Saccharomyces cerevisiae S288C: one gene and its partners. The protein of the gene in region 3 interacts with the protein of the main gene of each other region in a biochemical or structural test. Each region holds a gene or a part of one and is shown on either strand. Other genes may lie near its edges. The genes, in order: CRF1, IFH1 and FHL1.

Region 1 (9,887 bases), on a different chromosome or scaffold from region 3:
TTGAGGTACGTCATAGGAAAATCCAATTTTGTTCAAGCGCTAGTGGAGGGTAAAATTAACTATACCAACGATATCTTGGAGTATATCAGAGAATTCCGTTTGATTATGGATGATATTTCTCAGAATTACAATGTTAACTTTCAAGATGCAGGGGTCAAAAGTGCTGTCGATTCGTATAAAAACTACCTAGGTGAATACGGCGAACTGGCTGAATTAGAACCAGCTCACCCGTCAGAGAGCCTTTTGAGATCGTTGAGCGAAGTAACATCATTTGTGAACGAGAATGCACCAAAGGTATTGCCACCAGACGCTGTTGAGTCAGAACAAGATACGAACAGCGATCATATCGGTACTTCTGGAGATTTGCGCAATAAACTCAAAGAGATTCTATCTAAGCTGAATATTTTTTCATCTAGAAAAGATTTGGTCTCATTAGAGAAGAGATTCCGCTCTTGTGAAAGTCAAGTCAGTCTCCTGGAGAATGAATTAAAGCAAAAAATGGACTATAAGAAATTATTAGATGAAACTGAAGATGAAGGAACTAATTCTACTGCAGGAAATCTGACTGAGCTTTTAGAACTAATGGGATCACAATCCTATTGTCTTGACGACATACTGGACAACTATGTGTACACTATATGCTTTCAACGTCCAATGACCGAAGGTGTCATATATCAAGCTGAGGATAAGGTTGACGGTAAAAAAGTTTTGATCGGTCGTTTTAAGACATCAGGTTTTAATGTTGACTTAAACATGGAAAAATACGCAGAACATTTAAAGGCCACATATGATGAGAAGAGTGATTTGATTTCAAACTTAGCAGCTATACAGGACGATGACGGTAACATGCAACATTACGTATTCGGGAACTTAAACGAACTGAATAATGGTCTGGTACTAGAATACGAAAATGGAGACCAGTGCTGGAATGGTCCGCGCAGATCGGCTACTGTATTTGTTCGGTGCAGCGACAAATTCAAGATTCGGAGTGTACATGAAGCGACTAAGTGCAACTACATCTTCGATGTCGTTGGTCCTCTAGGCTGCAACAAGACTTTCGAATACGAGCCCCCTAAGTTCAATTTAAGTGAATGACTGGAAAATGAGTAGTTAGGCTTTTTTAGTAAGTAAACAACTAGGAAGGCCGATGCTGTGCCGTGATACTCTTTTCCGCAACAAAAGCAATATTTCCCTCGGCCAAAACGCGAAAAGACGATAAATAAGTATATCGTTCCAAATACTGATAGTTCTGTACGACCTGTTGGAATAACGCGAAAAGAAGGGTACGGCGTAATCACCCCACACGGCTTGTATTTTTTTCGGAGAACTAAGTCATAGACGTAATGCTAATTTTTCCGTCTAGCCGATGTTTATGCGGCTTTTATTTTTTTTTTTTTTTTTTTCTCATCTTTGTTCTTCCGGTTTCCAAGATGTCTCACAGATTATTACAGTGAATTCCAAAATCATGTTTACTACTGGAATTTGTATGCATATGTTTTGGCAATCTTAAGCCTACGGATTTTAAATGTGATGGATATAACGAACAGTGTTTACTGGAGACTCACTTCTCTGGGCTTGAGTTTACGATGTATAGTCATATAAAAATGAAGAAATTTCTTGAGTGACAATTGCCGCCGTACTTCGTATTGTCTTTTCTTGACAGTGAGGGCGTATAAGATACATCGTACATACATAGAGACTCATTTAGTGATGCTTGAATCGAGCAGTGATAAGATAAAGTTTGCGCCTATTAAAGAGGTAGATTACAAAAAACCGGTAAGTAAGAGTAAGAACTATACTCTTATTAATGACATCCAACCATTGGAGTGGTATTGTCACAATGATAGTGAAACGGGCTACCAACACACCATAAGTAACAAGACAGATGGTGGTAGAGGTTTATTCAGAGTGATGAAAAAATCGATGGAGACCAGAGTCGAGACCCAAACGTTATATTTCACAGATTTGCATACAGGCTTGTGTGGATTTGTTCAATTACTGTATTCTACGGTTATGGGTGGTATCTATAAAGGCTTCCAATTGAATTTCAAGGTTTTTGGCTCAGAAAGTAATAATACTGACTACGACGTTTGGGAAAGTTTTAAATTGGATGACATAGCTGAATTTCAACCATTAAAGTTTGTCTCTAGAAATGTTATTTTTGAATTTTTGAGCAACAAAAATGAAAAATTAGGTTCCATTGGCCAGTTATCTATCAAATGTGATTTACCAACATGTAACAATACAATTCAAAATTTGAAAATCGATTTGTTGGTGGATTTGTTTCAAGGTTTTAAGATGAACCCCAACGGTTGCAATTATTATTTTGACAAACAAATCTCGATGAGTGACGAATTCGTTTCCTCAGACAAAATGATCAGACATGTTTTTGTGCCCAGAGGTAAATGTAATGGTAATATTTCCTACGATAAAAAACTCAATAGTGGGGACTTTCAAAATAAAAATATTTCATTAACTGATGTTCCTGTCGTTTATCTGGACGCTGTTCAAGGTCTTTTGCCGAATAAAGCAGCCAGTAAATGGAATTTCCTATGTTTTCAGAGCGAAAACTACTCTGTTTTAGCAATTGAATTCACTACTCCTCGAGATCATGATAACGTCACCGTAACAGTTTGGTCAATTACTGAAAAAAACAAACTGATATCTATTGGTTCTTCTGTGCAGAGCCCAAAACGTCATGTTAGGTTCCGTGCTACGAGTACAGATAAGGAAAGCGGCTGGGTATATCCAACCTCTATCAAGTTCCCCGGTGGATTTTCAGAACACGACTTGAGGCTGGTTAATCGATACGACGTTCTCGGTGAGTTACCAAGCATGGTCAGGTCGTTAGCTCAGAAAATTGTGAGCATCAAACCTTTCATTTATCAATACTGTCAACCTTCTAAATATAAGCACGAGAAAGGTATTTCTATCGTTGAGAGCACCTTCATTAGTTGAACAAAAGCGTGAACACTTCCACATGAAATTCGTTTTTTGTCCTTTTTTTTCTCTTCTTTTTCTCTCCTGTTTCTTCTACCAACTTTACCTAATAATTAATGTGTAATCGAATTTTTTTACATAATCACTACCTAATAACTAATTTATCATCACTTTTTTTTTTCATTTTGAGGCCACACTTTCCCCCATGGACTATTGCATCATTGCGCCATGCTTCTTACTTGCGTAAGCCATAGAACGGAAATATCATGTTCCCCTTGCCGCATGCATATTGAAAACATCACGGGAACGAGAAGAATGGCATTTTCGAAATAAAAAGAAATCATATTTCAAATGTTGGGGAGAGAAAGCAAAGGGGAATCAATAATCATTAAGGGAAGTCGATGAAAGTTTCCTTTTCCGAACTCTACCTCGCCTTATATAAAACCTTGGTCTAAACGGATAAACCGAGATGTAGTTGAGTTTGTGAATCCAGTTCTTGTCCTTCTTCCTCTTTCAAAAAGTGAAGCAATCAGTTGAGAGTGTAGCTATAGAGGTGTGTACTCTAGAAATCAGACTTTCATAGCAAGCAGACTTTTTTTTTGTTGAATCTTACTAGCGGATTTTTTAGAGTTTTCTTCTTCGGACTAATCTGTCAATGGTTCCAGTAAGATTAATGAGTCAAAAGCCCTCTATAATTGTATCGAGAAATTTCTTAAAAGAAGGAATATAATTATTGCGGTCACTAGAAAGTTATAAGAAGGTTACCATTTAACTGAACAGCAGCGGTATAGTACGGAATAAAAAAGTCTTTTAAAATGTTGCTTAGTGCGCCTGTTAACAGTACCGTGCGGCGCAAGCCACACAGTCCAAATAAAAAAAAGCCAAAAGAGACAGGTACAGCTGCTTCCTTTTCGTCGTCCTCTTCAACTGTCGTCCTTTCATCCAATAATGATGGCAGCTTTGATGCTCTTTGGGACCCCTCTATAAGTAAGGCCTCGGATTTTGAGAGTAGCTATATTAGTGCTAAACGATTAAAACCAGAAAGTAGTAATAGACAGAAAAAAAAAAATTCTTATAAATATTCTAGGGAGGAAAACACCAACGAGGTAGAGGAAAAGACGTCTCTTGGCAGCAGCTCTAAGACAGAAGCAGATAATATATTTAATGACCAGCTCACGTCAGCTGGCAATACTACATATGTCAGTAATAAGCGCGATGTAAACTTCGGGGCGAATTCGGCTGTAGTACTGCTCGGTTTGCCAACAAGTAAAAGTGAATCTCACCGACAATACCACAGTCCTTCGGCTTCAACAACTAATGAAGATGAAGAGGACATTGGTGTTGATATTTTAGTAGACAACCACATCGATAGTTGCGAAACAGTATCGATAAATAATAATAGAGGTATTACACACCAATATCCAGAAACGGAATCAGATGTCGACTTTGATGAGGCCGTGATATTGACACCAATGGATGGTACGGATAAGGGAGTGAAAAATCCAAGACCACTCGAAAAAAAATATAGTAGCAGTTGTTTTGAGGACCGTACGCCCCTTAACTTGGATGATGGTCATTTCAGTGAATGCAATCATTTTTCTACATTAGATGTGTCTAGCTTTTTTCATCTCAACGAGCATGTGCATAAAATCGACGAAGTAGAGCTCGATGGACCTGATCGCACCTTTAGTCTAGACAACGTCGCTATTAATACAAGGAAAAAGGATATTGATTGCCTCTATAATAGTTCAAGAGAAGACTTATCCAACCTCACATGTTCTTCGGAAGGCCCAAGGAATGATAGTTATGATAGTGATTACAACATTGATGAGGTCACTTATAGAGATGATGAATCAACAGATGAAGACGAGAGCTTACCAACCCCAGATCGAAAAAGGAAGAAAATTGGCCATAAAGCTTGCGAAATATTGGATTCTAAAAGAATTGGAATAAAAGTACCAAAGTTATACGTTTGGTCTTTAAGTGATAAACCGTTTAGTGTTATCGATGGGTTGTGCACAAAATCGCTGTACCCATTGAGTGATGACATAAATACTCCTGAAAGTTTGAGCTCATGCTCAAGCTCAGTAAGTTCACGGGAAAATCAAAAAGGAGATGCAACATTTGATAATGATGCTATGATAGCCGACCTTCTAAACATAGGCGGACTCGAAGTAGAGAAGGCATCCAATGGCCATATTGAGCTCATAGGCGAGTGATTATTTGATATTCCAGAAGAATCATTATCGTCTTTTAAAGGAAAATATGATCGTTTGCGAAAAAATAGAAGCACTTTACTACTTGAATTGTCATAGAATAGTAGGAAAACCTACTTAGTCAGCGAAGATCAACTTGGAATATCGTATGATGAGATGGAGAAAAATTTAGGGGCCGAAATGGATGGATCCACTTGAGAGAGGATCAAGGAATACTGAAGTGCAGCTGACGATCCAGTCAGCGACATCTGTCTTTTTTTAATTACTATTGCTGTGTACTTATAGAGTCGGTGGCATTTATTTTATTTTTAGTATTTTTTTATACGTGCGTATTCTATTGTTCATTTTTTTACCAATTTTTTTTTTATTTTTATATTTTGTTTCTTGCGTGGAGTTTTTACAGGAAGTTAATCACAACAGAGGGTTCAATCTCCAAGGCATAAAATAAACAAAAATTGTAATAGTTAGCAACTGCAATACGAATTAAAATTTGAGGAAAAATCTAGTATTGTTCACACGAGCCAATGCTCTGAAGTTTCGAAAGCTAATAAATATCATGTGGAAACTTTTCTGAGTCATTAATAAGCAACACTATTTATTCTTCTTATAATTAGTCTTACAAGTAAACTGCCTTGCCGCATAAGCGCATTCCCTCTATGAGACCATTTGTAATTTCGAGAACACAATTTTACAACCGAGTAAATATCTTATAATCATTAAAATTATTAAACTATTATACAATTTTTTTTACTTTACTTTAATTTTTATATACCCATATAAATAATAATATTAATTATAACCAAAGGAAGTGATTTCATTATGCTTGAGTAGAGGAAGAGTACTTGGTAACAGCTCTAGTACCTTCAGAGACAGCATGCTTAGCCAATTCACCTGGTAAGATCAATCTAACAGCGGTTTGAATTTCTCTAGCAGAGATAGTAGACTTCTTGTTATACGCAGCCAATTTAGAAGCTTCAGTAGCGATTCTTTCAAAGATATCGTTAACGAAAGAGTTCAAGATAGACATGGACTTTTGGGAAATACCAGTGTCAGGGTGAGTTTGCTTCAAAACTTTGTAAATGTAAGAAGAGTATGTTTCCTTTCTAGCCTTGCTTCTCTTCTTACCATCAGTGGAAGTGGAAGTCTTTTTAGCGGCTGGTTTCTTTTCAGCTGGGGCTTTGGAGGCTGGTTTCTTTTCGGCTTTAGCAGACATTGTATGTGTGTATGGTTTATTTGTGGTTTGACTTGTCTATATAGGATAAATTTAATATAACAATAATCGAAAATGCGGAAAGAGAAACGTCTTTAATAAATCTGACCATCTGAGATGATCAAATCATGTTGTTTATATACATCAAGAAAACAGAGATGCCCCTTTCTTACCAATCGTTACAAGATAACCAACCAAGGTAGTATTTGCCACTACTAAGGCCAATTCTCTTGATTTTAAATCCATCGTTCTCATTTTTTCGCGGAAGAAAGGGTGCAACGCGCGAAAAAGTGAGAACAGCCTTCCCTTTCGGGCGACATTGAGCGTCTAACCATAGTTAACGACCCAACCGCGTTTTCTTCAAATTTGAACTCGCCGAGCTCACAAATAATTCATTAGCGCTGTTCCAAAATTTTCGCCTCACTGTGCGAAGCTATTGGAATGGAGTGTATTTGGTGGCTCAAAAAAAGAGCACAATAGTTAACTCGTCGTTGTTGAAGAAACGCCCGTAGAGATATGTGGTTTCTCATGCTGTTATTTGTTATTGCCCACTTTGTTGATTTCAAAATCTTTTCTCACCCCCTTCCCCGTTCACGAAGCCAGCCAGTGGATCGTAAATACTAGCAATAAGTCTTGACCTAAAAAATATATAAATAAGACTCCTAATCAGCTTGTAGATTTTCTGGTCTTGTTGAACCATCATCTATTTACTTCCAATCTGTACTTCTCTTCTTGATACTACATCATCATACGGATTTGGTTATTTCTCAGTGAATAAACAACTTCAAAACAAACAAATTTCATACATATAAAATATAAAATGTCCGGTGGTAAAGGTGGTAAAGCTGGTTCAGCTGCTAAAGCTTCTCAATCTAGATCTGCTAAGGCTGGTTTGACATTCCCAGTCGGTAGAGTGCACAGATTGCTAAGAAGAGGTAACTACGCCCAAAGAATTGGTTCTGGTGCTCCAGTCTACTTGACTGCTGTCTTGGAATATTTGGCCGCTGAAATTTTAGAATTAGCTGGTAATGCTGCTAGGGATAACAAGAAGACCAGAATTATTCCAAGACATTTGCAATTGGCTATCAGAAATGATGACGAATTGAACAAGCTATTGGGTAACGTTACCATTGCCCAAGGTGGTGTTTTGCCAAACATCCATCAAAACTTGTTGCCAAAGAAGTCTGCCAAGGCTACCAAGGCTTCTCAAGAATTATAAGATCGGTTCTGGTATTTTAAAGAAGGCGGAAGGAACTAAACTGCTTCTCCATTGTAACTATATTAAGTGTCTATTAGACCTTTCTGTTTTTCCTTTTTATTTTTCTATATATAATTTATTGGGTATATAATTAACGGTAACATATGTCATGCATGATATAAATTTTTTGTTGTGTCTTCCTGTTTTCTCTGTTGCTCTGTTTAGGTTCATTGGGCACTGTTGCTTACTTGAACATGATTGAGTAGCAAACACATTCTGTGCTTTGTTCACTTTGATAGTGTGACGAAATTTTCACAACCAAAGGAAAAAAGCTCACGATTGCGCGATCCTGTCACGGAGAACTGTCCGCAGCAGCCCGCGGCTTCTGTCCTTATTCGCCCATTTTTTTTTGATTTTCGACTTTTTCACTCTGGCTAGTTTTATTACGCATATTTGTATATATATATACGCATAAATTTCTGAAATGGATTACCTGGTTTATCAGAAACGAGAGCTTTAATAAAGAAACATTAACGTTTCTCTGGTAAAGTCACCACACAGCATCAAATATAACAGTAATGTCTAGCTCAGAATCCATTAGAATGGTCCTAATTGGCCCACCTGGTGCCGGTAAAGGTACTCAAGCTCCAAATTTGCAAGAGCGTTTCCATGCCGCTCACTTGGCCACTGGTGACATGTTGAGATCTCAAATCGCAAAGGGCACTCAATTAGGTTTGGAAGCAAAGAAAATTATGGACCAAGGTGGTTTAGTCTCTGATGACATTATGGTTAACATGATCAAGGATGAATTGACCAACAATCCAGCTTGTAAGAATGGGTTCATCTTGGACGGTTTCCCAAGAACCATTCCTCAGGCTGAAAAATTGGACCAAATGTTGAAAGAACAAGGAACTCCTTTGGAAAAAGCCATCGAATTGAAGGTTGATGATGAATTGTTGGTTGCCAGAATTACCGGTAGATTAATTCACCCAGCCTCTGGCAGATCCTACCACAAGATCTTTAACCCACCAAAGGAAGACATGAAGGATGACGTCACCGGTGAAGCTTTAGTTCAAAGATCTGATGACAATGCAGACGCCTTGAAGAAGAGATTAGCTGCTTACCATGCTCAAACCGAACCAATTGTTGACTTTTACAAAAAGACCGGTATCTGGGCTGGTGTTGATGCTTCCCAACCTCCTGCTACTGTTTGGGCTGACATCTTGAACAAGCTAGGTAAGGATTAATGACCTTGCGCAATGTCTTCTAAATATCTTTTCTTTTTTTTAAATTAATGAAAATATAATAAATTTTTGTATGTGAGTACATATATCCGCAGTATACTATAAATGAAATAATAACATAAGTGTTTGTAACTGGCTATAACGTCCTTAAACATGTGCACTGCCATTAAGTACTTAGTCAATATTTTTATCGTTGAGAACGAACGCAAATCATATTACTAAATAGATGAACAAAAGCGCATCACATAAACAAAAACGGTATAACAGTAATAGTGAAGCTTTTTATAAACCTATAACGAAATAAGCGCTTTTCAGGTTTTATAATTCAGTCAGAGTTCTAACTGGACATCGTTTTGCAGGGGATAAAAAAAAAAAGGAAGCTTCAACCCACAATACCAAAAAAGCGAAGAAAACAGCCAATGCCAAATGACAATAAGACACCCAATAGGTCCAGCACTCCCAAGTTTACTAAAAAACCAGTAACCCCGAATGATAAAATTCCTGAAAGAGAAGAAAAATCCAATGAAGTGAAGACACCTAAAATTCCATTATTCACGTTTGCCAAAAGCAAAAACTATTCAAGGCCGTCAACCGCAATTCATACCTCACCTCATCAACCAAGTGATGTAAAACCGACTTCCCATAAACAGTTGCAACAGCCAAAATCCTCACCACTGAAAAAAAATAACTATAATTCTTTTCCTCACTCAAATCTGGAAAAAATAAGCAACAGCAAACTACTCTCCCTTCTTCGGTCCAAAACGTCAGCAGGAAGAATTGAATCAAACAATCCTTCACATGATGCTAGCAGGTCTCTAGCAAGTTTTGAACAAACAGCATTTTCCCGGCATGCGCAGCAACAAACTTCTACCTTCAATTCAAAGCCTGTACGTACCATAGTACCGATATCAACATCACAAACCAATAACTCATTTTTATCAGGAGTAAAAAGCTTACTAAGTGAAGAGAAAATAAGGGATTACTCTAAAGAGATTCTAGGCATAAACTTGGCAAACGAACAGCCTGTTTTAGAGAAGCCACTTAAAAAAGGATCAGCAGACATCGGCGCCTCTGTGATT
Region 2 (11,637 bases), on a different chromosome or scaffold from region 3:
TGACCCTCAGATTATATGCTGCTTGAATAAAATTCTGGAAGGCTTATTACTTTCATCAGGTGTTCAATTTAAAGTTATCCAGTTTTTTTATGTATTAAAACTATACTATATGCAAGATAATGAATACACATTCGAAGCATCATCTGAAATGGATAAATTGACCATAGAATGCTTATGTATCATCGAAAATATTATTGATGCTTGTGACAATCCTGATGAAGTAACTGACTACCAACTACCTAAGGTACTGTTGACTGCTATGGAGGGGAAATTACTTGTTGCTGAAAAAATATCCGAAGATAATGACTGTTCAGAATCTCTGGACGATTATCATCCCCGAACTTACCAATTCAGACATCCCAGAATAATAATAGACAAGATGAAAACAAAATTGAAGCAGAAACTGCGCTTTGACTCACCTAAAGATCCAGAAACAGATGATCATTGGATTGAGTATTGGAAATATTGCTATCAGGATAACATAGGGAACTTGCCGGACATTTTGTCACGTATATATCAAACCTTTACTGATCCCTCCAATTAAACATAACTTGTACTCTATTTTTATATTTTAGGTTTTTTGGCATCTGGGGTTCTTATAGGATCTTTAGCCTTTCTCTTCATACTTTCTTGTTTAGCCTTATCTAGTAAATCTTTAACCCTTGTTTCAATATGATTCAAAAACTCTTCCTTCACCTCACCGGATTTAATCAACTCGTAGTTAAACGGATCAGAGATTTCTGAAACTTCATTTTCCACATCGCCACTTTCGTCAATCACCGAATCAATCATGCTTGAATCAATTTGTAATTTAGCACCTTTATTACTTTTTAAGTTGAAAAAATTCTCTTCCAGTAACTTGTAATCGGTAAAGATATTGGCAAAATTTTCCGGCGTTACTTCGATAGGGAATCTATCCTTGAAGAAGTTTTTCGGATATCTGAAATCTTTGTCTACAAGCTTTTTATACTCTAAACCACAGTATATGAGAGATAGTACAATGAACGTATAACCGTCGCACAATAAAGAAACTGGCTGGGTGACAGCTTGGACCATAAAATTTCTTGATTCTTGAAGAATTTTTGGAAAAGCTTTTTTAAAGTTTTCTGGCAGATTGTGATCCCTGTTGAATCTATAATAGCCACTGAACACTTCTTCAATCAATTCTTTTGGATTACTGATATTTAAGTCAAAGCCAAATAAACATAGTATTTTTTTTTCATTCGTCACTAACTTATCTCTAAATTCCCATTTAAGTTTATCAATATTTGTTCGACTTTTTAAAGACGGTATATTTTGCATCAAAAACTCACAAGTCGCCTTAATATAGGCCTCTATAGGCCTATTATTCTCCATTGTTTTGCAAGCGGTGACCAGAATTCCCTGTGATATATGAATACATTCAGTTATGGCTGTAGGTATTCCATATATGAACCAATACCTGTAAAATAGAATGCATGATGCCGTATAGGTGTGATCAAAAAGATTTAATTTTTTTTTAAGTGTGTAAAAGTACATTAAGCATTTTTCCATATTTTTTTTTATTTCCACTGCTATCGGTCCATTAGTGCCTATCTTTTCAATAATATCTTTGCACTCAAAAACCCACTGGTTTTCTGGTGTTTCTATCAAATCCGGCCATAGGGTCCTTGCGTTAAACCCACTCGATGCTGGTGGTGGTGATGCATTGCTCGTTGGTTTTGGTACAGCTTGAAATTTTTTCACGTCACCACTTGAAGATGTAGCAGACATTATCTTACTGTAATATATTTTAAACGAAAATACTACGGCCTCCTTCAATATGTGTATATAATTACCAATCAAAATAGCTACTTGCTTTCTAACAGAAATAGTGATACTTTTTAATCACTTTTCTTTTTTTACTGAACAGTGAAAAATAGAAGTCACAATGAGACCTAGGTCAAAAAGCCATAATGAATAGGGTTTGCAATAAAAAAGCTTTAAACGATAGGTCTGTTAAAGAGGATAAATAGGTTTATCATGTATCATTTGGTTTTTTGGGATAGGGCTTGGCAAAAACCATAACAGGGGAATGAGATTTTATATATAAATAGACAAGATAGATACTAAAATAGTGACGGATTCTCTCTAAATATTCGAGAAATTTTCAAAATTTTAGGGCAACGAACAGTTTAATTAACATAAAAATCATAGAGCAAAGAAAAAATGGCGGTTGCGATCAAAAAGGAGAAGACGAAATTTGCCCCCGTTAAGGAAGTTTTATCCGAGAAGGATCATGCTAATTATACTAAATTTCAGGATACATCGAAACTAGAATGGTTTTGCAGGACGTCAAATCACAAAAAGTTCAAGTCACATAGTTTATTAAAAGCAGTAAGAAATCCAACGGAAACAAGAATAGAGACACAAACTCTGTATTTTACGGATCTCACCAACGGCAAATGTGGATTAATTCAACTATTATATTCCAGTGTTATGGGCGGTATATACAAAGGTTTTCAGTTAAATTTCAAAATATTTAAAGCCAGCAGTGAGGAAAACTCTGAAGAAGACATTGATATATGGGAAAGCTTTAAAATTGATAATATCAAAGATTTTGATACGTTAAAAGTTGAATCGGACAATGTTACGTTTCACTTCGTACCTTTGGAAAATTCTTCCTCCAGTGGATTTGCTCAATTATTAATTAAGATAGATATTCCGAAGGGAAGTACAAGCTGTTTACTAAAAGATTTGAAGGTTGACATTACCGTAAATTTACAAGAAGGATTCATAATAAACCCGGACGGTTCCAATTATTACCTTGACAAGAGCATCAGCTTGGAAGAGTTAGCAAAAAGAGACTCTTCTAGTACGTCCAGAAAAATGATAAGACATGTTTTTGTTCCTAGAGGTTTTTGCAATGGTACCATCTCATACAAGAAAAACGATAAACCTGTGAAGCTGGACTTGAAGGACACGCCTATGTTGTATCTGGATGCTGTCCAGGGGCTAATACCCAATAAGGCGGCTAGTAAATGGAATTTTCTTTGTTTCAATGGTGAGAAGCGTTCGATGATGTGTATTGAATTCACCACAACAAAAGAATATGGCAGCACTACAGTGACTATATGGGCGGTTAGTGATAAGGACAAAATTTTGGAGGTCGGGTCAAGTGTAAATGATCATGCTGTTAAATTTCCATCTACAAAAGAGGATAAGCAAAATGGTTGGAAATATCCTACATCCATTTCATTTCCGCGTGGTTTTGAAGAATCTAATTTAAGATTAGTCAATAGGTACGATATAATGAGTGAGCTGCCCGCTTTCATTAGGTCTATTGCTGAAAATCTGGCAAACATGAAGCCATTCATTTACCAATTCTGCCAGAAGTCTAAATTCGATGACGATGAAGGAGTTTCCATCATTGAAAGTACATTTATCAATTGAAAAAAATGAAATTTGACTATACATATTTTCATCATTGCAAGAATATTATATCCATTTATAAGTAGGTAGGTGCATAGACGTATATACACATATATTATAGACTAATTGATAAATTTTTTTTTCATCTTCGAAGATAAGGGGTATTCCAGTTGGGCAATGCTATTTCTTGACCAAGATCTTGCTTTTGTTCCGGATGCTTGTAGACGAAAATTCTTATCAATTTGGATGGCTTGTAAGGTAAACCGTGCCCAATTATCGTGTCTCTAGGAAATGAAATTTTCTCTTCAGATTGTAAGCAGGCCAAACTCCATGCAAACTGGTATGAAAAAGAACATTCACTATAGTTGAAGATTGCTTCAATGCTATTTACGGGTTCGATTCTAAAGAGTAACCACGGCTTCGATATCTGATATGGAATAAAGTCATAACCGAGTAGAACTAAATCACCATTGATACAAACATCTGAATCTGTCCTGTCGATAGCTTTCAGTTCCAGGGGAAGATGTGTCGTTCCAGTGCCTTCAAAAATTTGCTCATCGTATAGCCTGGGAAGGTGGCCTAGGTTAACACAGTATATTCCTTCAGATGTTATCAATTCGTTGATATATCCTGCACTTGCCACGATCTGCTTCGGCCCATAGTTGCATATGCCTATTTCCGTAATAATTTTCGGTATGTATCTGGCAACGTGCGCATTTTTTACATAAAACCAAACGTTTACCGGTGTAGGCTCGTCCTTCCTCCTGGACCAAAAGTTAACAGGTAAAGCTGTCAACGACTGCATAAGAGTTCTTTCCTTGGGCCGACTATTAAAGTTACTGGTAGAATCAGAACCATTTGAATCTTGACTTTTGGTATATTTGTCCCATCCCATATTAATTATCTTTCCAGGATATTGCAGCGCATTGTATACAATATACCAAGAATCTGCGATGTATTTAGTCATGCACAGTGGCACATTAAAACCTGGTTCCTTCGTTTCTTGAATGATTTCTCTGGCATGCTGTCGAAGTGGGTCCAAACTCTTGACATATAAACATAATGAATGTTTGACAACGGCCCATATATAGTTGTCCTCAGCTATCCACGCCAAACTCTTCTCCTTATAGCTGTGGTTATGCAAAACGTAGAAGTATTTATTGACAGCACGAAGTTCATTAGGCACGTACTCTAGTAATGATAAATGTATCTCCAGTGGTAAATCCATCAAGCTGCTATCGCTCTGATTCATCTCTTGTTTGCACACTCTGTCTTCTTTGCGCCAATAGGCATAGTACAAACAAAAAAACGAGCCAAGCAAACAGCGGAAACTCTATTAAAGGTTATGCTACCTTCCGATAGTGATAATATTATGAGAAACTCCAATGTAGATCTACTTGTCTGAGATGGCCTTTGATAAAAAAATCAATCGAGTACGCAATAGAGGGGCAGAGACTTTGAAGAGCAAAAAAAAGAAAAAGGAAATTTTCAGTTATTGTTCCGATTTTTCCGTGTGGGGTTCGGGATGCCTAGTTGTTCCGTAATGCGATTGAAAGATACACTTAACTAGGAGGCTGCTAGTACGCGACCCCTACCTACGTATTGCAAAGATGTTTGAAGTATCAACGGGTGTAGAACTTTGCAATCAAGCAAAAGCTAGATAGTTCCATTATGAATTGTGACGATGTTACCCGTACTGCCTACTACATCTCTTTATACGGATTGAAATCTCTAAAGGTTGCCCTGCCCGTCGTTTCTTTTTCGTTGGAATTCTTTTTTTTTTTTTTTTTTTTTTCATCTCATCACTAAATTGATTTAAAGTACAACTAGGGAAAAGAGACTAGATAATAGGTGCTTTACACGTTTTGACGTTTAGCTTTTACGGCTCTTTAATTGACTTGCTGTAAGTATTTGTATAATCATTGGTAATATTTGAATACATTCGAAACACTTGCTACAAGAAATTAAAAGGAGGAACTCTTCAAAAGGCTATATTTAATTACTGCTTATTTATTACATTCCTCCCTTTCCACAATTCTAACATAGGACAAACCTATAATATTTTTTTTAACTTCGGTGAGCATCATAAGCAATAACCATTTCAAACATAGTAATATTCATTCTACGAAATTCATTTTCAAGCTTGTTGAAATTGAAGGAAATTCAACAAGGAAGCAAATAAACAAATAAGGAAAAAACAACCGGCAAACTGGAAACAGAACGAAATGGCAGGCAAAAAAAGTCCTCGAAAAAGTACGATCAATCATAGTACACATTCTGGTAAACTGCCAGCAAATATTAAAAGGCTCATAAAAAAGGGCGAATCCGATACAAAGTCCAGGCAATCACCACCCACACTGAGTACAACGAGGCCAAGAAGATTTAGCCTTATATACTCTTCTGAGTCATCCTTGAGTGACGTATCTGATTCTGATAAAAACAAAAGTACAAACCCACATAAAATTAAAAGAAAAGCAAAGAACATTTCAAATAATTCCCAAGGAAAAAAAAGTAAACTTATACAAAGGCAAATAGACAATGACGACGAGGGCACAGAGTCATCCGATTACCAAGCTGTAACAGATGGCGAAGAGAGTGAAAATGAAGAAGAAGAGAGTGAAGAAGAAGAAGAAGATGATGACGAAGACGACGACGACGATGATGATGACGGAAGTGATAGTGATAGTGATAGCGAAACAAGTTCTGATGACGAGAATATAGATTTTGTCAAACTGACGGCCCAAAGAAAGAAAAGAGCCATGAAAGCTTTATCTGCCATGAATACAAATAGCAATACACTCTATTCCTCTCGTGAGAACAGTAACAAAAATAAATCAGTTAAACTATCCCCTAAGAAAGAAAATGAAGAAGAGCAGAAAGAAGAAAAAGAAAAAGAGAAAGAAGAGCAACAAAAACAACAAGAATCAAACAAAAAAGAAGTAAACGGTTCAGGCACTACTACTACACAACAGGCGCTATCGTTTAAATTCAAAAAAGAGGACGACGGCATTAGTTTTGGTAATGGTAATGAAGGCTATAACGAGGATATAGGTGAAGAAGTCTTGGATTTAAAAAACAAAGAGAACAATGGTAATGAAGAAGATAAACTGGATTCTAAGGTGATGTTAGGTAACAACGATGAGTTACGATTTCCCAATATTTCAGAGTCAGATGAATCTGAATATGATATTGACCAGGATGCGTACTTTGACGTGATTAACAATGAAGATTCTCATGGAGAAATTGGTACAGATCTTGAAACGGGGGAAGACGATCTTCCCATATTGGAAGAAGAAGAACAAAACATTGTTTCTGAGCTACAAAATGACGACGAACTCTCATTCGATGGTAGTATACACGAAGAAGGGTCTGATCCTGTAGAAGATGCTGAAAATAAATTTTTGCAAAATGAATACAATCAAGAAAACGGATATGATGAAGAAGATGACGAAGAAGATGAAATAATGTCTGATTTTGATATGCCGTTTTATGAAGATCCTAAATTTGCAAATCTTTATTATTATGGCGATGGTTCAGAGCCAAAGCTATCCTTGAGTACATCTTTACCGTTAATGCTAAATGATGAAAAACTATCTAAACTAAAAAAGAAAGAGGCCAAAAAACGGGAACAGGAAGAAAGGAAACAAAGACGAAAGCTCTATAAAAAGACGCAAAAACCTAGTACGAGAACAACCTCCAATGTGGACAATGATGAGTATATTTTCAATGTTTTTTTTCAATCAGATGATGAAAATAGTGGCCATAAGAGCAAGAAAGGCAGGCATAAATCGGGCAAAAGTCATATTGAACATAAGAATAAAGGCTCGAATTTGATAAAATCCAATGATGATCTGGAACCATCCACTCATAGTACGGTCCTGAATTCCGGGAAATATGATTCTTCTGACGATGAATATGATAACATTTTGTTGGATGTTGCCCATATGCCTTCAGATGATGAATGCAGTGAATCTGAAACGTCCCACGATGCTGACACGGATGAAGAATTGAGGGCACTAGATTCAGATAGCTTAGACATTGGCACAGAACTGGACGACGATTACGAAGACGACGACGATGATTCCAGCGTGACAAATGTGTTCATAGACATCGATGATTTAGATCCAGACTCTTTTTACTTTCATTACGACAGCGATGGATCTTCCTCTTTGATAAGTTCTAACTCAGACAAAGAAAATTCTGATGGATCCAAAGATTGCAAACATGATCTCTTAGAGACTGTTGTGTACGTTGATGACGAATCCACAGATGAAGATGATAACCTACCGCCCCCAAGTTCAAGGTCAAAAAACATTGGCTCAAAAGCAAAGGAAATCGTAAGTTCAAATGTTGTTGGATTACGTCCACCAAAATTGGGTACTTGGGAGACGGACAACAAACCTTTTAGTATTATTGATGGTCTGTCTACTAAATCATTATACGCCTTAATCCAAGAACATCAACAGCTTCGCGAGCAACATCAAAGGGCTCAAACCCCAGATGTTAAAAGAGAGGGAAGCTCTAATGGCAATAACGGTGACGAATTGACACTCAATGAGCTGCTAAACATGAGTGAATTGGAGGATGATTCACCATCCCACACAGACGATATGGAGAACAATTACAATGATGCAATTAATAGCAAAAGCACAAATGGCCATGCTGCAGATTGGTATGAAGTTCCTAAGGTTCCATTATCTGCATTTAGAAATAAGGGTATTAATGCCTATGAAGAAGATGAGTACATGATACCAGCAAATTCTAACAGAAAAGTTCCCATTGGCTATATTGGTAATGAAAGAACAAGAAAGAAGATTGATAAGATGAAAGAGCTACAACGGAAAAAAACTGAAAAAAAAAGGCAGTTAAAGAAAAAAAAGAAGCTTCTTAAAATAAGAAAGCAAAGACAAAAGGCAATAAAGGAGCAAGAAACTATGAATTTACAATTGGGAATCAATGGCCATGAGATCATCGGTAACAATAACAGCCATAGCGACATAAATACCGGTACCGATTTTACAACCAATGAAAATACCCCTATGAATGAACTTCCCTCTCACGCACCTGAAGATGCGTCATTAATACCTCATAATTCTGATCTTGCCGTGGACAGCAATACAAGGAAAAATTCAACAAAAAGTGTTGGTTTAGATGAAATTCATGAGATTTTGGGCAAAGATGAAAATGACTTACTGTCTGTAGGTGATATTAACGGTTATGATGCACAAGAAGGTCATGTGATCGAAGATACTGACGCCGATATCCTAGCATCGTTAACCGCTCCTGTGCAATTCGACAATACATTAAGCCATGAAAATAGTAATTCCATGTGGAGAAGAAGGCAAAGTATGGTGGAAGCAGCGGCTGAAAATCTTCGTTTCACTAAAAATGGTTTATTTAGTGAGAGTGCATTGGCAGATATCGAAGGAATTATGGGCAATGATGTTAACCATTCATTCGAATTCAATGACGTCTTACAATGAGCTATTTTGCATTTTTTTATGGTTACTACAATCAAATCACCTTTCGTTTACAATATCATCATCAGTATGTGACTTTGCCTTATTCTACTCTGAATTTTGCTTTATCGTTGGTTGAAAAGAATTACATGTTATTTTTTTACTTATATATGCATATTTTTATAGAAAAACACAATCAATATTTTTTTTACTGGTATAATCCGTCCAATCAGACGTATAAAAGTAAATAAGCCTCAAGCAACCCCATTTGATGGATTGCCTTACTCTTCGACTCTAGTTGAGATGATAACCTCATCCACTCTTCTGGCGATTAAGATGGAGCTTCTTAATATATCCGTGTAAAGCGACTGAAAATTTTCTGAAAAATTCAGCTCATCGCTCTCAGATATAATAGCGGTATGGCATTAAAGGTGTGAACCAACAACATAGTACTCTCAACGGTAGTAAGCCATACTACGTACAATATGGATCTGAAAACCTCATATAAAGGTATATCGTTAAACCCTATTTATGCAGGAAGCAGTGCTGTTGCCACTGTTTCAGAAAATGGTAAAATACTAGCTACTCCGGTGCTTGACGAAATCAACATAATCGATTTAACCCCAGGCTCCAGAAAAATTTTGCACAAGATTTCTAATGAAGACGAGCAAGAAATTACTGCACTGAAATTAACTCCTGATGGTCAATATCTCACGTATGTTTCACAAGCTCAGCTTTTAAAAATCTTTCACCTTAAGACCGGGAAAGTTGTCAGATCAATGAAAATCTCTTCTCCATCGTACATTCTCGACGCAGATTCCACTTCAACGCTTCTCGCAGTCGGAGGGACAGATGGTAGTATAATTGTTGTGGATATTGAAAATGGTTACATTACTCATTCGTTCAAAGGTCATGGTGGTACAATTTCCAGTTTGAAGTTTTATGGACAATTGAATAGTAAAATATGGTTATTAGCATCCGGTGACACCAATGGTATGGTAAAGGTTTGGGATCTTGTTAAAAGGAAGTGCTTGCACACATTACAAGAGCACACATCTGCTGTGAGAGGGTTGGATATCATTGAGGTACCAGATAATGATGAGCCAAGCCTAAATTTACTTTCCGGTGGTAGAGACGATATCATCAATCTCTGGGATTTCAATATGAAAAAGAAATGTAAATTGTTGAAAACACTTCCAGTAAATCAACAGGTAGAGTCATGCGGATTCCTAAAGGATGGTGACGGTAAACGCATAATTTATACAGCCGGCGGTGATGCTATCTTTCAGTTAATTGACTCTGAATCTGGTAGCGTGCTTAAAAGAACCAATAAACCTATAGAAGAGTTATTCATTATTGGTGTACTTCCAATATTGAGCAATTCACAGATGTTTTTAGTATTGTCTGACCAGACATTACAACTAATTAACGTTGAAGAAGACTTAAAGAATGATGAAGACACAATACAGGTCACTTCGAGCATTGCTGGTAATCATGGTATTATTGCTGACATGAGGTATGTTGGCCCAGAGCTGAATAAATTAGCTTTAGCTACCAATTCTCCATCGCTTAGGATAATACCCGTCCCCGATTTATCAGGCCCAGAAGCTTCGCTGCCTTTGGATGTCGAAATTTATGAAGGTCATGAAGATTTGCTAAATTCATTGGATGCTACTGAGGATGGCCTGTGGATCGCAACCGCCTCTAAAGATAATACGGCTATTGTTTGGAGATACAATGAGAACAGCTGCAAGTTTGATATTTATGCCAAGTATATTGGTCATTCAGCTGCCGTAACTGCTGTTGGATTGCCAAATATAGTTTCAAAGGGATATCCTGAATTTTTATTGACAGCATCGAATGATTTAACAATTAAGAAATGGATAATTCCAAAGCCAACTGCTAGTATGGATGTTCAAATCATCAAGGTATCCGAATATACTCGTCATGCCCATGAAAAGGATATCAATGCTTTGTCAGTTTCTCCTAACGATTCTATTTTTGCAACAGCATCATACGACAAGACCTGTAAGATCTGGAACCTAGAAAATGGTGAATTGGAAGCCACGTTGGCCAACCACAAGCGTGGACTATGGGATGTATCATTTTGCCAATATGATAAATTATTGGCAACTTCTTCAGGTGATAAAACAGTCAAGATATGGTCATTGGATACATTCAGCGTTATGAAAACATTGGAAGGTCATACCAATGCGGTTCAAAGATGTTCGTTTATTAATAAGCAAAAACAACTGATCAGTTGTGGTGCTGATGGCTTGATCAAAATATGGGATTGTTCTAGCGGTGAATGTCTGAAGACTTTGGATGGTCATAATAATAGATTATGGGCTTTAAGTACTATGAATGATGGTGATATGATCGTAAGTGCTGATGCAGATGGTGTTTTTCAGTTTTGGAAAGATTGTACGGAACAAGAAATAGAAGAAGAACAAGAAAAAGCTAAATTACAAGTCGAACAAGAACAATCGCTTCAAAATTATATGAGCAAAGGTGATTGGACAAATGCATTTTTGTTAGCAATGACTTTAGATCACCCAATGAGGTTGTTTAATGTTTTGAAAAGAGCTTTGGGCGAATCAAGGTCTAGACAAGATACCGAAGAGGGCAAAATTGAAGTCATTTTCAATGAAGAATTGGACCAAGCCATCTCTATCCTAAATGATGAACAGTTAATTTTGTTAATGAAACGATGCAGAGATTGGAATACAAATGCAAAAACACATACCATAGCGCAAAGAACAATAAGATGTATTTTGATGCATCATAA
Region 3 (11,476 bases):
TTGCAAAGCAGAAAATTGGTCTTTTTCAAGAACTTTGAATGCGATTGGAGAAGCTACATAGGAATAAAACGTCGTTCCTCCAAATCTGAAAGATTAAGTTGGTACATAAAAGTTGTTAGTCAGTTATTCTCAATTAATCATAATTGTTCAAATTTTTTCTTGTGTCTTAATCTGTACATACACAAAGGAATAAAAAAGCAAATGAGCCGTAGTTTTGACTAAACACATTTTTCGTTGTTAAGTTTACTGGACTGTAAAGCGTAGTTTGATCTGCCTATATCATCAAACAACTCCATTTAACTCCCTTAAATAATACTATTCTTTTCTGTAAGTTTATCGCACTATACGTTACGGTGCTTTCCGTCTTTTTCGGATGAGGGATGCTCATAAGAATTACAACAAATCATAAGCCCTGAGATAAAAAAGATCAATCAATACGATTATCATAAACCATGACTAAGTAGATACACAGACACGAATATATGGAGAAATGGTTGTGAAAGCTATTGCACGAAATTCCATAGGTCGTAATGGAGTTGGAGCATTCGTGTTTCCATGCAGAAAGATTACTTTGCAATTCTGTAACTGGGGAGGGTCTTCGGAAGGCATGAGGAAATTTTTGACTTCAAAGAGATTAGATAAATGGGGCCAGGAGTTCCCATGGATACAGTTTGAAGTGATGAGGAAGTCTGGACATCCTTTGTTGAGGGCAGAATACACAAATGGGCGTGAAAAAGTTATTTGTGTGAGAAACTTGAACATTGACAATGTAGAAAACAAGCTAAAGCTATTGAAGGATTCTGATGGAGACATTTTACGCAGAAGAACAAAGAATGATAACGTGGAAAGCTTGAACAGTAGTGTGAGGGGTATATGGTCGCCTCTGCATGCTGCGAAAAGGCATAGAATTTAGCTTTAGTATATAAGAAAATTCTAGAAATAGAGAGAGATAATTATACTTGTATATATAATTTGGGGCAGATAAGACTCCTGATATTTAAGATTTAAAGTCAATTTTGCCATTGTTATATGATCATGTCCTGAAATATGACCTCTTGTATTTGGTTACCCGCTTTACACCCTGCAAATCACACTAGTCTAATAAATATGGAATAAGACTGAAACATATAAAAGATGTAACTTCTAGGATATCTGAAAGAGCAACCGTACGGTATTCAACGTTTAGATTTGATGGACGGCCTTAGCTTTGTTGATAAAGGGAAAATACCAGATGGTTACAAAAATGAAATAGATCAATTAGTAAAGAAGGAATTTGCGAATATAAAAAGAGAGCCTGTTCATCCCGAAATACGAGGTATACTTGCGAAGAGAAAGGGGGCCGATAATAGTGTTTCTACGCTTACAAATGCATTGTACACCGAATACTTGAAACAACGTAATAACAAAAAAAGGCGAACACCGGATTTTAATGACGACGATGATACTTTATTTTTGGAAGAGTATAGAAGGAAATACCCGAGGATTGATACTTCCAGATACATACCGAACGAGTCTTCCGAAGTTAGCTTGTTAGGAATTGTAGATTCTTATTTAAAACATCAGGAAATAGTTTTGGATACACTTCTACCGCAAACGGTATCGAATCAATGGAGAATTAATAATGATTATATTCGTCAAACGTGTACTATAGTGGAAGAAATGAACATCCAGCAGAGGAAACAAATTAACGATTTGGAAATATACAGAAAGAGGTTATAATGTCGCAATGGACCTTTATTATTATAAATGTGGCGGCAAATCGTGGAAGGATATTGGATCGCTCGCCATAGAAGTCCTTAGCGCGCATGTACAATAACATAGAGTTTCATCTTGGTTTAAAATTCATAATTTTATTAATTGGTTACAAAAAAAACATAGATATGAGTATATAAATGTATTATATTTCTTCACAAACTAATTAAATTATTTGTCCAAAACATCAGCATCGTACTTTTGCTTGAACCAAGAGACGGTGTCTTCCTTAGTTGTCTTGTGGGAGTTACCAACGGTACCCTTACATCTCTTTCTTCTAGTGACTCTAGCACCTGGTCTGTTCATGACGACATAGAAATCCATACCGAAAATACCGATGGATGGGTCATACTTGATACCCAAGTCAATGTGTTCGTCAATACCGAAACCGAAGTTACCGGTAGCAGAGAAGTTTCTGTCTCTCAATTGGTATTCCTTGACCTTCAAACCTCTTTCCAAAATTTCTTCAGCCTTTGGACCTCTGACGGTAACGTGAACAGCAATTTTTTCGTTTCTTCTGATACCGAAAGTTCTGACAGTGTATCTGGCCTTGGATTGAACTGGAGTTTGACCAGATAATTGCTCTAAAACCTTGGAGGCTCTGGTCAATCTGTCACCAGATTCACCAACAGAAATGTTTAAGACCAACTTTTCGATCTTCAAATCACGCATAGGGTTTTGAGCTTTGGCAGACATCTTTGGCTATGTTTGTATGTTCTTGGTTCACCTTCCCTTCCACTGAAAAAAAAATAATATTAGTTGAAATACAATAAAATATGAACTAAGAAAGAAGCCTGCGGTTACTATCAAGATGTATCAAACAATGAAACTTTCGCATAGCTGAGTGGTAAGTGGGCTACCTTTGCTAGTGAAACAATAATTCCCTGCAAAGTGAAAAAGTTCGATTGGAAACTGGTCACGTGGATGTGAGTCTATTACCCGTAGAGTCTGCGCGCTGTTTGCGTCGCTCTCTGTATTTCTATGGATTTCACCGTTCTTTTTTCATTTATACAAAAAAGACAGAACTTAATGAAATAATCGCATCGTCAGTACACCCATACCTTTAGGATGGTTGGATGTTGCGCTGTCGCAGGAAAGAGCCTCTCCGGGTATTATGTGATATGAGGGAAAACAGCAAAAGGGTGGCAAAACGAAGAATAGCACTCCTTCAATAATGCAAGGTGAATTGTAAAGAAAGGCTTCAATATATCAATTTTCAAAAGAGAATAACAAATTTACTATTAAATTGAATAGATAGAAAGAAACCAGAAAGAAAAGAAGGAAAAAAAAACAAACATGCAAGCTATTGCCGATAGTTTCAGTGTACCAAACAGATTGGTTAAGGAACTTCAATATGACAACGAACAAAACTTAGAGAGCGATTTCGTAACGGGCGCCTCCCAGTTTCAACGTTTGGCACCATCGCTTACGGTTCCACCAATTGCGTCTCCACAGCAGTTTTTAAGAGCACACACAGATGATTCACGAAACCCAGACTGTAAAATCAAGATCGCACATGGTACTACAACCTTAGCATTTAGATTTCAAGGCGGTATTATTGTGGCAGTAGATTCTCGTGCCACTGCCGGCAATTGGGTTGCTTCTCAAACTGTGAAGAAAGTTATTGAGATCAACCCATTTTTATTGGGTACAATGGCTGGTGGTGCGGCAGATTGTCAATTTTGGGAAACTTGGCTAGGTTCTCAGTGTAGGCTGCACGAGCTGAGGGAAAAGGAACGTATATCTGTCGCAGCCGCATCCAAGATTTTAAGCAATTTAGTATACCAATATAAAGGGGCCGGTTTATCAATGGGTACTATGATCTGTGGTTACACTAGGAAGGAGGGCCCAACCATTTATTACGTCGACTCAGACGGTACAAGATTAAAAGGTGACATATTCTGCGTTGGTTCAGGTCAAACATTTGCATATGGTGTTCTAGACTCTAACTATAAATGGGATTTATCCGTTGAAGATGCTTTATATCTAGGTAAGAGATCTATTTTAGCTGCTGCCCATAGAGATGCTTACTCTGGTGGTTCTGTAAATTTATATCATGTTACCGAGGATGGTTGGATATATCACGGTAATCATGACGTAGGTGAACTATTTTGGAAGGTCAAGGAAGAGGAAGGATCTTTCAACAACGTTATTGGCTAAATAGAAGCATCAAACATATGTATATGCACATCTATATTAATGATACATTATTCTCTTCAAGGATCCAATATGGCTTCCCATAGAATTATGAAGGAAGTCCAGTTCTCATGTTTCCAATCATCACATCTATATATTTTTATATAATTATATCTTTAAGTATTGTTCGGTAATATGAGGACAGACGCCATCAATGCAAACAAAAAGTGAAACCCGAAATCAAACGAAGTGAATAAGTAGTTGTAGAGGCGACCCGATGGAAAATTTTGTAAAAATCGAAGACTGAATCTCAACAACGCAAAACAGAATAGGACGCATAGATTCATACCTATTACTATGGCTTGATCCGATCTATCTTTATGAAAAGATTTATGCTTCTACTTCGAATATGCTAATACTATTATCGAAATTTTTTAAAGTTTTTCCTCAAGGGATACATTTACTTCAGTGATACCCTCGTTGATATCCTCGCTGACCTTCCGCCTTTTAGAATCATGACCTTCTTCGTCGGTTTTTGAAATCTCGCGATTATCATTGCTACTATTCTCGTCTTTAGATGGAATATCATCTTTAGATTCGTTGTTTTTAATACTTTCACTATCGATCTTTTCGTTTTTGTTGTTCTTTTCATCTACTTCGCTTCCACTATCACTTTCGCTTTCGCTTTCACTACTAGTGCTGCTATTATCGCCGCTTCCACTAGCACTACCGTCATCGCTACCACTATCGCTCTCGCTTCCGCTCTCACTACTGGAACTGCTACTACTACTAGTGCCGCTTTCACTTTCTAAGTCGTTGTCCTGTGCAGGCTTAGGTTTGGGTTGTGCATCAACATTTTGAGAAGCAGCCGCCGGAACTGACGTAGCTGCCACAGAGGATGTAGCCCTAGCATTTTGTCTCGGTTGAAAAAATCGAGACAAGGACGAAGGATCAAACGATCCCGGTTGTTTATCATGCAAGTAATTATTGGGATGGGATGATGCCGACGCAGATAACTGAGATGGAGGCCTATCTGGTACATGCGGCGTCTGGACTATTGGTTGGCGTATCGGTTTGGAATGCTGTGCCTTAGCTGCTAAAGCCGCCGCCGCTGTAGTTTCAGGGTTCACTAATTGCTTTACCTCACCTTTTGTGACTTTTGCAGTTGCCGCGTTTACAGCAGCTGCTAAAATTAGATTCAAATGCTGAGGATTCTTGTCCATCAAGGCTGTAAGTGGATTACCAGTAATCCCCTTGTTTTTTGCCGCTTGTGTAACCTGATTTATTGTCATAGCTAGAGCCTGCGTCAAAATTGCAGCGATGACCTGCTTCGATAAACCCTTTCTATCTCGTGTTAAAATGACAAGCTGTTCCTGCAGATATTTCATTGTCCTTTGATTATCACTTGCTGTATTTTTCCTGTTCGAGGCGGCTCTGTTTGCTGCAAGAGTTTGTGAGATGTTTTGTTTTCTCGCATTAACGTTAGATCTCTGCGAAACAATATCTTTTTTGCCCCTCTGCGGCACTTGCTGAAGTTTGTGCTGTTGCTGTTCAAGTTTTAATTGTGCAGCTTGTGCCTTTGCCACAGCTATCTCACTTTGTTTCTTTTTCTGTCGTTCCCTCTCTGCAATATATTCTTCATCAAGACCCCATAACCATCCTTTGCCTTCTTTAGAAACCTTCCTGAAAGATTTATTTAGCGATAAGTTGTGTCTTACCGAGCTTTGCCACCCATCAGGACAGTATTTATAATAGGGGAAGAGTTCTCTTATTCCTGCATAAATTTCAGATAAAGACATTCCCTTGGCAGTCGAGTACTTTCGTATGCAAGTAGTTAGCATAGCAGAGTAAGATACAGTAGGTTTCGTTCTATATTCTACTGGAATCTCCTCCAAAGTATATACTTTCTTTGGTATTTTCGGTGGCTTCTTTTCTTTCTTAACAGCTGGTTTGGTCTGCGCTTTCTTGGGCTTTGCTCCAGTTGTAATCTTTTTCTTAGATTTGGGCTCGTTTTTTTTGAGATTTCTTGTATTTATTTCAGATTCTGCTATGTCAGCGTTTTCTGGGCTTTTGCTATCGTCGTTACGTTCTTGTTCTGGTAAAATAAATTGAAATGGAATTTGTCCAATTTGAATTTTTGTCTTATTACGAAGTGGCACAGTATTTCCTTTTTCAACGAAAATGTCATCCACAAAAGCACCATTCTTCCCTATTATGGACAATTCGAACCTTCCTGTCCCAAAATTGTAAAAAATCTGGGCGTGTCTCCTCGATATTGATTTTGAAGGACCAAGATTAACGTCAACTTTGTGGGAGAAGTCATTCTCAGACCTCCTTCCGATTATTGCATGTAATGTTTGTACATAAAATGTGAAACTTTGAAAGTCCAGCCTTGCATAGGCGAAGATAGTCGGTTGTTCATTCGGTAGCGGTAAACTTGCATCGATTGGCTCAGATAGTTTTCGTTGGGTAGTTTCAGCATCTGTACTATTATTTTCCGTTACAGTGTTTTGTGGCGGTTGTCCCACTAATTCATGCTGCTGAAACATTATTGGCGTTATTGAATTGTTTCTCATATGCAGCATGTTGTTTTTTTCATCTACTAATGTTGGTAGGGTCTCGGTATCTTTGTTTACTGATAATTTATGCACATCTGTGTATATAGCATCAGCAGTGGGTTCATCCTTTTGTATACTTGTATCTTCTGAGTTCCTTATGCCTTCAGTTTTCACTGCTGCTGTGTTATCTTGAGTTTTCTCCCTTTCGTCCTCATCAGGGTTTACTGGCTCTATATTGATATCTTCTTTTGATGAAACCTCCCTGCTGTGATCATGAGTTAAATCGATGTTATTTACAGGATCCATGGTGTGGGATAACAACTCATTTGAGTTGAACAGAGCTTCATCATTTTTTGCATCAAATTCCAGTAGCTTCGAAAAATCAGCGTTATCAAGGTTATCAGGTAATTCAAGTTTCAAATTTCCATTATCGTCTGTAACAGGATTCTCTACCTCGTTTTCAATATCAGTAGTCGTGTTTTGAGGATGTTTTTCCTCTGTTACTATATCAGAACTTTTTGGTAGTTTTGTTTCAATCGGTACCTCGCTTGTCGGTGAATTTGTTATGCTTTCTTTGGTTTCTTGGTCTTTCAATGCGGAAGAATCTATAGTAAACTGTGTTTCAGTGGTAGGCGATGAAGTCCCGACATGATTGCTGCTTTCTATTATTGCCATTTCCCCATCCATCTTATTCTTATATTTGTATAGATATGAGTGGGTTTTTGTTTTGAGCGGCTAGACGTTAAATCAGGTAAAAACCAGTACCAGGTATATTATGGTAATAAAAAAAGGAGAAAATAAAATGCTTTCAAATACAAAATTAATATTCGTGATGACCTTCTACAAGAGAAAAAAATGTGCCAATAGAAAAGTCCTATTTATCCAGCCCAGAAGATAATAGCAAATATTAATAGACTTTAAACTAACTCAAAGGATGACAAAGTTGGCCTTAGAGAAAGAGCTACTCCTTTCTTAGCTTGGTGACGGAATATATTTCAAAGGTTCCTTTGTTTATTTTTTATTAACGCTTTTAATTTTTCTTGTCTTAGTCTTCGTAATTTCCAGTTAATCGCAACGTTCAGAATGATAGTATGGCGCTATCATGTTGTGCTCTTTCATAAGAAAAATAAGAAATGTATTAACAGTCAAGAGTATGCAGAAAAGGTACAACAGCCAAGATTATGTTTGCGTTTATATGAAACTACTTAGTATTCAGCTCGTAAAGCTTATGTTATATTTACTGTGTTCTATCAATCTTCATATTTCTAGCTTTAATTCTTTCCTGAGAGTTTATCACCCAATCGAAAGTACCATTGAAGTCATCCTTGATATCACCTGTAGTCAAATCAAAATTGTCATCATCTAAACCGAGAAGCAACACGATTTGTGTCAATTTCAAGAACTTCTCTCTGAGATTATAGTTCAAGCCACACATATTGCCGATGAAAAGGCTCAGTTCTCTATCTAATTTCGTAACACCAAGTTCATTGAATTCTAGAGTCCATATTCTTTGCTCCAATGTTGTTACGATGTAGTCGACTATGACAGATAGCAACTCTGCATATGCTTCGTTGTGAAGAATATTTTTGTAAGGGATAATCAATTGGTTCCATTTGCTATTGAAACTGTTAATTTGCGACAAATCTTCGAAATCTTCTATGCTTGTGATGTAATTCTTTTGGTTCGAACCTGCAGAATAATCGCGAGACACATTTTTTTGATTGGACGTTGAGGAATTTGATGAGGCTGAATTAACAAAAACAGTTCCCAATAAGTTCCGAACCCTATTTTGTAGGATATTTTGGAACAAGTATTTGACAGCCCATTTGCTTAGCTTATCTGTTTGTTCCAGGACTAATTTTTCTGAGTTTATAATTAAATTCTGTAACTGCGCTGCATCATTGTCAAAAGGGAAATTGTCTCTCAAAATCCTTTGCGAATCGTCTTCTAATATTTCTATGGATAACAGCCTGTGAACGTATACTTTACTCAAGTACAACGTGTTCAGATATATCAAATAATGGTGCAACGCAAGAATGGAATCCTCGTCCTCTGCAACTACGGCTTGTAAATTTGATTGAATATTTGTCAAAGCGCTAGCTGCTGCCCCTCTAAAAGTGAACCTGCTTAGCGGAGAAAACTTATTTGCAGGTGGAGAAACCGATCTTGATGTTGCAGATTGCTCCTCACCTTTTGGAATGTATCTTTTCAAAGATACATTGGAGGCTAGTTTCGATTGTAGTAACTTAAATTTGTTTTGCATAAATTTTACCAGAAATCGGTTCTGAAAAAATTTTACCAACTCGTTCAAAAAACTTGCTAAGAGCTTAAACTGGCCAGTATTAACCACTGATATCAGATTTTTCCGAACTAATAAAATTAAGTCATCTAAAACAGATGTTACAGGGTATGAAATGTTATCGTGGTCATTGAGGGGAACAGCAGTTATAAGATCGTTCAGTGACGGTAATTCTTCTAGTGAAATACTATTTCTAAATGATCTCTGCAGATGGTTCAACACAAACACCTGAAACTCATCAAAGACCTTATCTTGCTTTAACTTTAAGGCAAATTTACCATCTGCTATTGGTGGAGGTGGTTGCAATACATGCGGATGCAAATCGCTAAATTCATTCCATTTAACTGAATAAAATCTAGAATACATGGACCAATTTTGAAGTATTTGAGAAAATTCCATTATCAATAATGCCAAGTCATGAATGGATATAATTGAGCTCTTTTCCGTTTCTCCGTCTGTTTCGATATCCGACTGATTACTGTCTATATTCACATCTTCATTCTTTTGTGAATGTTCCCATTCATTTATATCATGTATAGTCCTTTCTATTTTCCTCGTCTCCATAAAAATATCTAGAATCAAACTAGCTTGAAGATCAGCTTCTTTTTCTACTTTTTCCATGACATGCACCATGTGCTTTTTTCCATAACACGTGGCGATGACTTTTGAATGATCATTTATAATGGTCGATACAATTTTAAAAAGATGTAACAGTACTTGTGAAAAAAATCCTTGAAACTTGGTGCTGTTTTCCATAGAATTCGACATAATTTTCCTGCTTTCGTCCGCAATAATATCACAGACATATTTGGAATACAGGTCTAAACCAAGTACGTCCTGCCCAATCATAGGGAACATTTTGAACATTAAGGTTAGCTCTTTAATATCCTGTGTTCTTGTTGCTTCCATGAATTGCTCCTGAAATAAACTTGTCAGTTCCTTACACCAATTCTTTATTAGTATAGCTGGTTCTTCGGGAATTTCACTCGAGGGCACAACTTTCTTGGCAAACTCGGATACAATAAGTTTTTTATCCGGAAGGCTTCTAATTTCATTGATTGCTGTCGCAGCAACTAAGTAATCCTTTGTTTCTAAAGCAGAATGCGCCAGTGAAATATTATTCTTTAGCGTCCTGACGTCTTTTACAAATTGTAACGTTTTGTTGACCAAAGCGCGTTCCTGATCTACAGTTTCAATATCGTCATGTATAGCTTTTGCTCTTGCGTTCGAAGAAGAAATGGTGGCCACAGTCTCATGAAACTGAGTCAAAGTAGTCGTAAGGTTAGTTCTTTGCAATTCTAATTTCCGGGACTCTTTGTTGAGCGATGATTGCGACTGTTGCACAAATGCATTTAATTGTTTAGATTGTTTTGCGTAATCATTGGCTATCACTTCAGACAGCTTGTCTATTTGAGATAGTGTCGATAATTTGTCTAATAACAAGGTGTACCTTGCTAGATTTTTAGACAATTGGCCCTCGATGATCGAGCTCTCCCATGATGCATTCGATTTTTGCCCTTCCATCAAAACTTCACCCTTTTAGAGCCTGACAATACAGTATCGTTAGTTTGCGCTACTTCGCTGTCCCAACGAATTTGGTTTGTTTTCTATGTTCTATCTCTATCCCACACTTTTTTCACAATTCCTTTACAGGCGAAAATTCAAAAAAGTGACGTAAATGGAGTTCTAAAAGCTAAAGCAACAAGTTAATAAGGTTAGAAGATCGTAAATGTGTTTCAAAAGTTGCTTACCTCCTTCACTATATCTCAGCTGCTTGTATAGCCTATGACGAAAATTTATGTTCCCTAGCAAGGATATAATGTGTCAATCAACATGATCGCAAACCAGCTAGATTGTGATGTATGGGTCTATCTTATTGTTTATTTTGACTAGCATTGAATAAACAAAAAGCGCTGCTAATAGATTCTTGCCTTTATATAACGGGGATCTAACCTCATCAACAGCAAAAATCGTCTTAAAACACATCTCAAAGACTAGTTCTCAAACGTCACGCTATGAACAGTACACCTCCTACGTCACCCGTCACCAGGGTTTCTGATGGTTCCTTTCCATCCATAAGTAACAATAGTAAGGGTTTTGCTTATCGCCAACCGCAAAAACATAAAAGTAACTTCGCATATTCACATCTGGTATCTCCTGTAGAGGAGCCGACAGCTAAATTCAGTGAGGCATTCCAGACAGATTATTCTAGTAAGGCGCCCGTTGCTACCTCGGAGGCGCACCTAAAGAACGATTTAGACGTATTGTTCACTACCCCCCGGTTTTACTCTCCGGAGAATTTGGCTTTAATGTTCCGTCTTTCTAATACAGTTTCTTCCCTAGAATTTCTGGATGAGTTTTTGATGGGCATATTACTTGCTCCAGAGATGGATTTTTTGTCAAATCCAAGTTATTCTCTTCCGTCTAACAAATTAGTGGGACAGGGAAGTTATTCATATGTGTACCCTATATCATCAAGTGCTTCATCAAGATGTAACAACGATTCAGGGGTTGTTTTAAAGTTTGCCAAATCACAGCATAAAAGCAAGGTGATTTTACAGGAAGCTTTGACGCTAGCATATCTCCAGTACATGAGTCCTTCAACCAATGAAAGTCATATTATTCCATTCTATGGGTTGACATACATAACTAAATCCCATTTTAGAAGACTGAGGTCCAACGAATGTGTTCCTGGCCTTATTCTTCCGAAATGCGAAATGAGTTTATATCA

The links.
Region 1: the proteins of FHL1 (region 3) and CRF1 form a complex in vitro, tested with the Saccharomyces cerevisiae proteins (one study listed by BioGRID).
Region 2: the proteins of FHL1 (region 3) and IFH1 form a complex in vitro, tested with the Saccharomyces cerevisiae proteins (one study listed by BioGRID).

What each region holds. Positions count from the first base shown.
Region 1 is NC_001136.10:908,344-918,230, forward strand, and holds CRF1 (Crf1p), read left to right. Parts: upstream 1-3,755; coding exon 3,756-5,159; downstream 5,160-9,887. Other genes in the region: GTB1 (Gtb1p), read left to right, coding at 1-1,095; YDR222W (uncharacterized protein), read left to right, coding at 1,711-2,958; HTB1 (histone H2B), read right to left, coding at 5,974-6,369; HTA1 (histone H2A), read left to right, coding at 7,187-7,585; adenylate kinase ADK1, read left to right, coding at 8,143-8,811; chromatin-silencing protein SIR4, read left to right, coding at 9,228-9,887. UniProt on the Saccharomyces cerevisiae protein: Transcription factor, corepressor with FHL1 of ribosomal protein genes. May be involved in the blocking of the spread of silencing.
Region 2 is NC_001144.5:579,469-591,105, reverse strand, and holds IFH1 (Ifh1p), read left to right. Parts: upstream 1-5,615; coding exon 5,616-8,873; downstream 8,874-11,637. Other genes in the region: ADY4 (Ady4p), read left to right, coding at 1-544; BUR2 (Bur2p), read right to left, coding at 565-1,752; YLR225C (uncharacterized protein), read left to right, coding at 2,188-3,411; UCC1 (Ucc1p), read right to left, coding at 3,533-4,642; U3 snoRNA-associated protein UTP13, read left to right, coding at 9,335-11,637. UniProt on the Saccharomyces cerevisiae protein: Transcriptional coactivator that together with FHL1 regulates the expression of rRNA and ribosomal protein genes. Its activity is negatively regulated by environmental stress.
Region 3 is NC_001148.4:729,301-740,776, forward strand, and holds FHL1 (Fhl1p), read right to left. Parts: upstream 7,134-11,476; coding exon 4,323-7,133; downstream 1-4,322. Other genes in the region: TMH18 (Tmh18p), read right to left, coding at 1-85, 182-228; YPR099C (uncharacterized protein), read right to left, coding at 457-813; mitochondrial 54S ribosomal protein mL43 MRPL51, read left to right, coding at 491-913; SNT309 (Snt309p), read left to right, coding at 1,192-1,719; 60S ribosomal protein uL5 RPL11A, read right to left, coding at 1,924-2,448; PRE2 (proteasome core particle subunit beta 5), read left to right, coding at 3,049-3,912; Golgi transport complex subunit COG4, read right to left, coding at 7,684-10,269; putative protein kinase ISR1, read left to right, coding at 10,761-11,476. UniProt on the Saccharomyces cerevisiae protein: Acts as a transcriptional regulator that recruits coactivator IFH1 to the promoters of ribosomal protein genes. Recruited to ribosomal gene promoters by RAP1.